2 linked regions of the Drosophila melanogaster genome follow. The protein of the gene in region 1 purifies or fractionates together with the protein of each later gene. This does not show direct contact. Each region holds a gene or a part of one and is shown on either strand. Other genes may lie near its edges.

What was found.
Region 2: the proteins of Dll (region 1) and Zif purify together in Drosophila melanogaster (affinity purification with western blotting; one study listed by BioGRID). This does not show direct contact.

What each region holds. Positions count from the first base shown.
Region 1 is NT_033778.4:24,813,105-24,817,828, reverse strand, and holds the start of Dll (Distal-less), read right to left. Parts: upstream 3,008-4,724; 5' UTR 2,393-3,007; coding exon 2,262-2,392; intron 236-2,261; coding exon 60-235; intron 1-59. UniProt on the Drosophila melanogaster protein: Transcription factor that plays a role in larval and adult appendage development. Specifies the identity of ventral appendages (including legs and antennae) and suppresses dorsal appendage development. Involved in patterning the distal-proximal limb axis.
Region 2 is NT_033777.3:6,455,290-6,459,386, forward strand, and holds Zif (Zinc-finger protein), read left to right. Parts: upstream 1-1,798; 5' UTR 1,799-1,867; exon of another isoform or gene 1,868-1,927; 5' UTR 1,928-1,997; coding exon 1,998-2,141; intron 2,142-2,203; coding exon 2,204-2,820; intron 2,821-2,877; coding exon 2,878-3,012; intron 3,013-3,113; coding exon 3,114-3,384; 3' UTR 3,385-3,533; downstream 3,534-4,097. Other genes in the region: CG9727 (uncharacterized protein), read right to left, coding at 1-732.

The DNA of each region.
Region 1 (4,724 bases):
ATGGGATTGGGACTGGGATTGGGCCTGAGACTGATCGGATAAGGAGGAGCAGTACTTACCATCCTTCGGTGGACTGGCGCAGGGCGGGGCGTAGCTGCCCAGATGGTAGCCGGAGTAGGAGTTCTGGTGCATTGGCGGGAACGGGTAGCCGAGGGCGCTGCGCGGACTGGGGAAGCCGGAATCCTGGCCGCCCTGCGGTCCGAAATGCTGATAGGTGCTCCGGATGCCGCCGTACCTGGAATGCCGCAAATGCACGGAAAATAATCAATACGGGGCTGTAATATAGCTGTGGCAGTTGTGGAAGAAGTAGTGGAAGTAATGGAAGTGGCGTACACCGGCTGTGAATGTGAATGAATCGTGCCGGGGACAAAACTTTTCCTACTTGCGTGTTTTGTCTACACTTTTCACTATTCACTATTAAATTCAAACGTCGCCGAGCATAGGACGAGCGTTCGGTCGGGAAAATATCTAAAAGTGGGCCCAAAATGTTTCATGTTTAATGCAAGAAGCGTCGAAACCAAAACTTTTTCTCTCACAACAAAAAATTAGGCTGGCGGAGAGGAAGGAAATTTTTGCCATGACTTCATTTACAAAAACCAGAACCGAAACCAAAAACAAAACCAAAACCTATCCAAAGCCCGAACTGGATGCGGCTTAATATATCAAAGAAAAATCAATACGAGTGTCAGAGTCGCTGTGTTTTAGTTTCGGTTTGGTCCGCAGTTCCGTTTGCAGTCCCGCTCGCTCGCGGTAAATATTTTGTTAACACTTTGCGGGCGAAACAGTTGAGCAAGTTCCCATGCATTATGTTCCGAGCGAACTGCATGAAATATTCAATGCTCTCCTGGCCCCTCAAACACGGAAACGGAAGCGGGCCGAAAGCAGCAGAAACCGCAACGGACAGCGGCCAACGGACAACGGAGAACGGACAACGGACAGCGGACAGCGAACAGCGAACAACATGGCAGCCACTCCGGGGACGGAGAAAAGTCGTGGCCAGGAACAACTCCCGAGGGCTGGTCGGCGCAGCCAAGCATTCCAAGTCCCGTCCCAGCCCAAGAGCCCAACACGCACAAATGACAGAGCAGTGGAAACCGCAAGGCTCAAAACCAAGAATGCAATAAAATATGTATAATGAAAAATCGAATCGTGCGTTGGGAAAACAATTTGCGGCTGCAAACAGTTCGCCGAGTGAGCGGTAACAGTAAACAGACCACCGAGCCCGACTTATTGCTACCCCATGAGGAACGTGTTGTTGGATAGGAACAGAACCCTCCGGATCAGACGCTTATTTAGAACACGGACCGGGAGTAAACTACACTTAATTGAATTTATTTTTGGCTTCCGCTGCCGGCCAGCCAGGCACCAGCATGAACTGTAAGCCGGAAAGTGCAGCTGAAGTGATTTTCTTAATCAAAACTAATAGTATAGCGAGACCCCAACGCGAAATCGATCCCGAAAATAGTATCATAAAGATGGAAAGCTGACGGCAACTTTCATCGATTCAGTCTTAGTCGATTTGGCTGAGGGCCTAGAGAAGGCTAAATGGCGAATTGGCAAATTGAAATTTAAAATTGTGATTTCGAATTTATACTACATTTGTTACTTTAGAAGTACATTTTTATGGAAGTCAAAATAATTTTTAACTTTGGATTACATTGACGAATTCATAAATCTACAATTGGTTGCTTTCATTTTTTAAGACAACTAATAATTATACAAGTTTTTTAATAGTAAAATTTATGTATCGATCGAAATAAGACTATTGGCTATTGTAATGTAATCAGTAATTAAGACCCTAAAAAGTTATATGAACTACTTAGACAATATACTCTTGAGTTAACCTGACTTTATTTAACTGCTTGCTTTTACCAACTGTTATTTATTATTAAAAATTGAATTTGTTTATTGTAATGTCAATGTACTATATTATCTATTTATGCAATTATGCAGCTTGTAGTCCTATGCCAACTAACTTTTTCCCTTGAAATGAATGAAATGATTTTAAAGACCAAATGGTTTTATGGTACGTATAGCGCTCTTTAGATTCATTAAAAAGATTCATATTCGAGTTTTGGGAACGCCCTGGCCACAAACTCCTTTTTTCTCGGGTGTGTCAACTGCTCCGCACAGATTGAGATTGAGTTCCGATAGGTTTGGTTTTGGCAGGGCTGAAGTCTGGAGGGGATCGAGTCTTTTCGCCGAAACACTTTCTGCAATCCTCCCGGTGACTCCACTCCACTGATCTTGGGGACACTCACCCGGCGGCGGCGTGCTGCTGCAGCTCCACGAAGGCGGACTTTCCCGGGATGTTAATGCCGGGCGTGACGCTGGCCGCCGTGTTCCCGCCGTCCATGTACTTGGGCGTGTGCGGGGCGTCGGGGGCGTCCATGCCCGACTGGGGGGTGCTGGGAGGCCCCTCGTAGGGGCTCCCTAGGTCCGTGAAATTGAGCGTGTTGGCGCCTATTGAGGCCACTTTATCAAGAATTTTGACGGCTGTTCAGGGGGATGCGCGCGGGAAGGAAGTTCTCAGAGATCCGATGGCAATGATCAGCTATACTTGCACAGTAGGAGTGTGTGGCTTGCGTATCTAAGGTTTTTGTAGGACACAATGTCTTGGCTTCAGTTCAGTTCGGCGACTTGATTTGGCGGAACTGTTGAGCGCGTAAATCCTTTCAGATGGCGAGGAGGCACTTTTCTCAGCACTGACACTCAACTTGTTAGCAACTCAACTCACTCGAAATTGCTTTCTTGTATCACTTCGATTTCTGGCTGTGCATATTCTTTGTAGATTTTCACGATTTTCAACTCCGTTTTGCGAATCAATCAAATCAATTCATATCAAATCAGATCAGATCAGATCACTACAAATCACTTTATAGTCCGCGACGGATCACTTAGCTCGACGCAGAAACGCAAGGCGCAAAACGCTACGACGGATCGACGACGGCAATTCAACGGCGAGAACAGCGGCGACGACTGCACACGAACAAAGTGCGTATACGACTAGGTGAGGTTTTCGCGGCGCGGTTGCGCGAGACTTCGACTCGCTGCGCTGTCGCTTTGCGGCCGTGCCGCTTTGCCGCTCTGTAGCAGTGGTGTGCGAGCGGCGCAGATGTCATCCATCGCCGTGCGTCGGAGCGGGACGGCTGCTGAGGCCCAAGCCGCTGGCAGTGACTCTCGCCGAGCGTCGCCAATCGGGTGGTTTGCAACCGGTTTTCTCGGTGGTGTCTCTGTATGGTGGTGCAGAAACCGCACCAATACTATAAATTTCCCCGTTCCGGGTGCACGGGGGTGGGGCTGGGCTCTGGGACCCCGTTTTTGTGCCGCTCAACTCGTCAACTTTGTCTAGGTCTAGGGCCCGCATCGAGATTGAGGCGTGGCCTGTCGCCCCGCGTCCCCACGGATTTGGGGAACTTACGGCGTGTATATGCAAATTCCAGGGGGAACTGCCCGTGGAAAGTGCAAATATTTTGACGTTTTAAATAATGTTGATTAAATGCAAAGGTCTCAATTATTAAATTGATTGTTGAACCTATAATTTGTCTTCTTATTTAGCCGCTGCTCCTTTCGGGTCTTATTTTCGGATCAATCGAAACTGTGGCACACGCATTTCCACGGGTAATCAACAGTTGCGGACAACAGACGAATTAACTTAATGATTTGTTTACGTTTTACAATCGGTGGGCTTGCTTGTAAGGAAAAAACGCTACGCACACAAACAACATAGCGTGGTATATATGACAGGTCTGCTATCATTTTCTAATGGAACCTTTAATTTGAAAATCCTTTCTAGGGAGTCTTAAAGCCTCCTTGGAGTTGGTACTTGTGGCGCCACCTAGTGGCCGCCTTTGGCAGCGACAAACCAGTCTATCGGGCCAACCTGCTCACCTGTCAAACACACACACACACACCCTCGCAGCCGCACTCGTACACACACATACTACCTGCGCACCCAGCACGCCCCCTGCTGAGAGCAGAAACTCCCTCGCCACGCCCCCTTGAGCGTTTCGAGAGAGGGCAGAGAGCTCGAGTAGGCCCAATTCAAAATGGCGTCCTTTCGGCCACATAATGTCGCTTTGTGGCTAGGGCCAAGCGACACGGACCGTTTGCTCGAGCGGACTTTTTCATTCACAAGACAAAGTCACCGAGCGGAGAGAACAGCGGAATTTCCACCTTTGTCCGCCTAGCCTAACTGGCAGTTGAAGCGGCGGCAAAGCGGTCTCCATTCCACCCCTTTCCCCTCTCCCAACAGCAGGCAGTTGTCACCTGAGAAGGATTTCCGCTGAAAGTGGGAAAATATGCATATGCATGAGTCGGAGCGGCGCTATTAACCAGAACCAGAGTGCCACAAAAATCGAATTAAGTTTGTTTATAAAAGTAAATATAAATCGAGCATCCAGCGGTAATTGAGCGCCTGATCCGACTGAAATGCTAATCCCCTCGTCCGGATTGGATCGGATCGGATCGGCTGTGGAGCCCGCCGTTCCGAGTTATGACCTGGTCGGCTGCGCTGCACTAATTTAAGGTAGCACTGCAAATGCACGTAATTGTTGCAATTACTTAATGAAATATTTATTAAATGCAAATTATGATTAGCCCGGGCTAGCCACTGCACTGCAGCTACTGTTCCTTTTCCCAGTGAGGCGCCTGGGCTGCGCTGTTTGTGCTTGACTAGGCCAATGGTAATACGGGTACCCCTCTTGGGCCGCGATTAATTGGCC
Region 2 (4,097 bases), on another chromosome or scaffold:
TCTCATCTTCTCCTCACTGGGAACTGATCCCGCTGAGTTGGAGTTGCTCAAAGCATTCATTACGTTTTCAGCAATGGTGGAGTTTATCACTCCACTGGCCGCTGGAACGCCCTCGTTCGGATGCCGTGGACCAGCTATTGTTGGGGTCGAAGGAGCAGCTGTCGCTGGAGTCGTGGTGACTGGTACTGGCGCCGATGGCACTCCCGCAGTAGCTCCGCCCATAGCGTGCATGATCTTGCCCAGACCCAGTTGCTGGGCTGTGCTAAAGCTGAAGGCATTGGCAAAGGCCAGGCCAGCAGCATTTGCACTCGCCGTGGCAAAGGGATTCGGAGTAAGTACGGAAGTGGAGACACCTCCACTGGCGCTGGTGGCATTGGAAAACGGAGGCGGCACAAAGCCGCTGGGCGTGGCTACAGGTACAGGTACATGGGTGTGACTCGTGGGCGAGATCTGGGCAGAGGCAGGTGCTCCGCCGACAGGGCCCACGGGCGTAATGGTCAAAGGAGAGCCCTTTGCATGGATAGCAGGTCCTTGAAATCTGGTTGCGCTGTAGACTATATCCGCGGGCTGTAGGCTGCAGTTCCCATAGGGATTGGCGTTGGGTTTCTGGAGGGGTAGTGCCACAGGGATCGGTTGAGGTATGGGAATGGAATTGGAGACTGGTGCTGTTGTTGCTGCTGGCGCCGCTGATTTCGTCCACTGCGCACCCAGCTGGCCGTGCTTCTCGGACATGTTAGGTGCTAGTGCTAGCGGCGCCTCCGTTTCCCTCCGCCTGCTGCTGCTCCCTCGTTGTTTTCTGCCTGCTGTGGTTTCTGGCCAAGATTAAGGGCGCTTCCGCTGCCAGGTTACGTAGGTGGCTGCCTGTGTGAGTGCTGGACTGCGTTCTATTGAGTGTGTGTGTGCCTTAGGAGATGGAGATTGCCGAGTCGATAACTGGCGCGACGAACATTTTGACGGCTGCGACGGACGAAGATACGGATGCCAGATATAGTTGCTTTCCCATTTTCCCGTCAGGCGGGAGTGCGCTGGGCGTGGGACGTGAAAGTGCGTGGCGTTCTTTACTGCCAACGAGCATGCGATTTTCCCAGATACGCACCGATTGAACCGAAATAATCCATTTTTTAACGAGAGATAAGAAAATATCTTGCGTTCTGCGTCTCGAAAAATATGTGGCGTTGCCAGACGGCTGCATTAAGAAATGTGCTTTTTTTGCCAGAGCTTTCGGATGTAAACACGGTGTTGTATTTGCGATTTCGCATAAATAAATGAGTAAATTACTAATAATTTGTATATAATTTGCAGATTCACCTTACGCAATGTTAGCTTGTATATGATAAACATGCAACGCTAGTCTTTTAGTGATCTTGCTGTCATCGTTATCGCCACTGGTCAAAAAAATGAGCCATAGAGAACTGGTTCCTAGCTAAATTAAATCTTTGGTGAGATGTATTGTCAGTATTGGACATAATATTTTCTATTGATAAGGCAAATTTAAGCGCATTAGGCCTTTTTTTAAATAATATTTAATGTAAGACGTTGGTATTTTTATGATTGAATTCTTTACTCTATCTAAATATACGTAAATATGAAAGAAATATATAAATATATATATAATTGTTTTCATAATATTTGAATATTTGAAGTATTAATATTTTCTTTCTCATTTTACAAGTTGTTTGTGTTTATAGGCACACTGGGGAATACTTTCAGTTATCATATCATATCGTTTAGCCATGGTTAAAGGAACAAATATTTCCAATGTATTGTCACAAGCAGCAAACATGTTTATCAGATATTTAACCAAAAATCCGCTTCCCGGAACCAGCAAAATGAACCACATCGTGTTCGCCGATGCTATGCAGCCCTGGTAAGGAAAATGGCGATGTCTTTTCGTTTCTTTTTTCAGTCGCTTTACACAACACTTTAGCAACACAAATTTTAACACTACAATACTACGCGAGCGGTTCTTTAAATTAAATTTCGAGCAGGATTCCAGAATGCGCGTCGAGCTTACCCCACAGACGTGCCGGGTCTGCCTGGCGCAGAGTGAGCGACTGCAGCGCCTAGACGAGATCCGCGAGGAAGGCGAGGAATCGCCGAACGAGATGTTGATTCAACTTTTGGGAGTCTCATACAGCAATGTAAGTGAATCGCTAGAGCTGGCAATGCGAACTGACCATTCATCCATCCATCCCTCATGCAGCTGAACGACAGAGAACACATACCCGATGGCATCTGCAAGTCCTGCAAGGTCGAACTCAACATGGCCTACCAGTTTCGCGAGAAGGCGCTGCGCAAGCAGATGGAGATTGAGGAGTACTGCCGGGAACTGGGCTTGCTGGACGAATCAGATGTGATGATGATCAAGGAGGAGGACGGCTCGCAGCAGCAATGCGACGAGGAGATGTACATCCTGGAGGAGACCACCACCGGGGAAGAGGAGCACCAGGAAGAAAAGGGGCACGAGGAGTACTTGGAAGTGGACACCAGCGATCAGCAGGAGTGCATTGGCGACACCATCGAGTACTTGGAGGACAACTACACCATCGAGATGAACTCCGATCAGACCGAGATCGTCCTGGAGTCTGAGAAGCAGTACGAAGAGACACCATCGCAGCAGTTGGCGCTGCAGGAGGCGGCCAAGGCAAGCCTGAAGGCGCGGCGCGGCCGGGTTCGTCGCGGATTAAACTCCCTAACAACATCGGACGGCACTGAGAAGGGTGGCTATATCTGCGACGTCTGCGGAAACTTTTACGAAAAGCGCGGCCGGATGATGGAGCATCGCAGACGCCATGACGGCATCTGCCAATATGCATGCGAGTAAGTCGAGTCGGTAAATTTCATATTAAAGCGATAACCCTAATCCCGCCTTCACAGACTATGCGATGCCAAGTTCCAGGTGCGCGAGCAACTGAGGAAGCACATGTACTCCCACACGGGCAGCAAACCCTATAAGTGCAGCTTCTGCAGTCGTCAATTCTTCTACGAAAGTGTTCTCAAGTCTCATGAAAAGTGAGTAGAAATGTTATTCTCACGGAGAGGCCTCAAAATGGGCCATTTAAATATATTCCTAGTTCGGGACAGAGATAACTAACTTTTCTTTTTCCGATCAGTGTTCACCGTGGCATCAAGCCCTACGTGTGCAAGGTGTGCGACAAAGCGTTTGCCTACGCTCACTCCCTGACCAAGCACGAGCTCATCCACTCGGACATCAAACTGTACCGCTGCGATTATTGCAACAAGGACTTCCGTCTGCTGCATCACATGCGCCAGCACGAGGAGACCAAACTGCACCAGAACGCCGTAATGCTGGCCGAGAGCATGAAGGTGGAAATGGTGGCCGAGCAGGGGGGCGGGAACGAGATCCGAATTCAAGCTCACTGACGCAATCAAATTCAGTAGAGTATACTGTCTTATTTCCAGATATAATCCCTTATAATCAGTAATACTAGCTTAAACGCTAACGGATAGCGTATTCATAGTTGTAAGAATGAACTTCATACGTAAATAAAGGTTATTTTTGTTAAAAATAGAATATCAAACGTATGTGATGTTTTAGCAGCATGTGGAATTTGGTTCATAAAATTAATTTATTTGATAATTTGAATACATACAATACAATACAATACAATTTGAAATGTAACACGCCCGAGAAAATCTGGCAATCTAGTTGTACGCTAGTTGGTAAAAGTCACAACTGGCCGTAGTTATTTCCACAATCAATGTTCGCAATGTGTGTGCGCGGGAAGCTATGCTGAAAATTATGCAATAAATATGGGTGGCTTCATGACGCCGTGGGTATATAAAATGAAATTGGAAAAAACCCAATTTGCACCTAGCGCATGCAAAGCACCAACAAATGTACAATATCAAAGGAAGTTCCGAAATTACATGACTTGAATGCGTTTTTTTTTTTCATTGGCCGCTTGTCTCCTTTTTTGAACTCCCCCGTGTATCATATCATCATTTTAGCGGAAACAAAAAATGTTCTTATGGACTGGTAAAGCCTTTCGGCCCCTGGGGCTTTGTATTTGATTACGGGTGGTGATACACTGCAAGCAAAGCTGGGTACAATAATTCAAAATAGGTAACCAAGG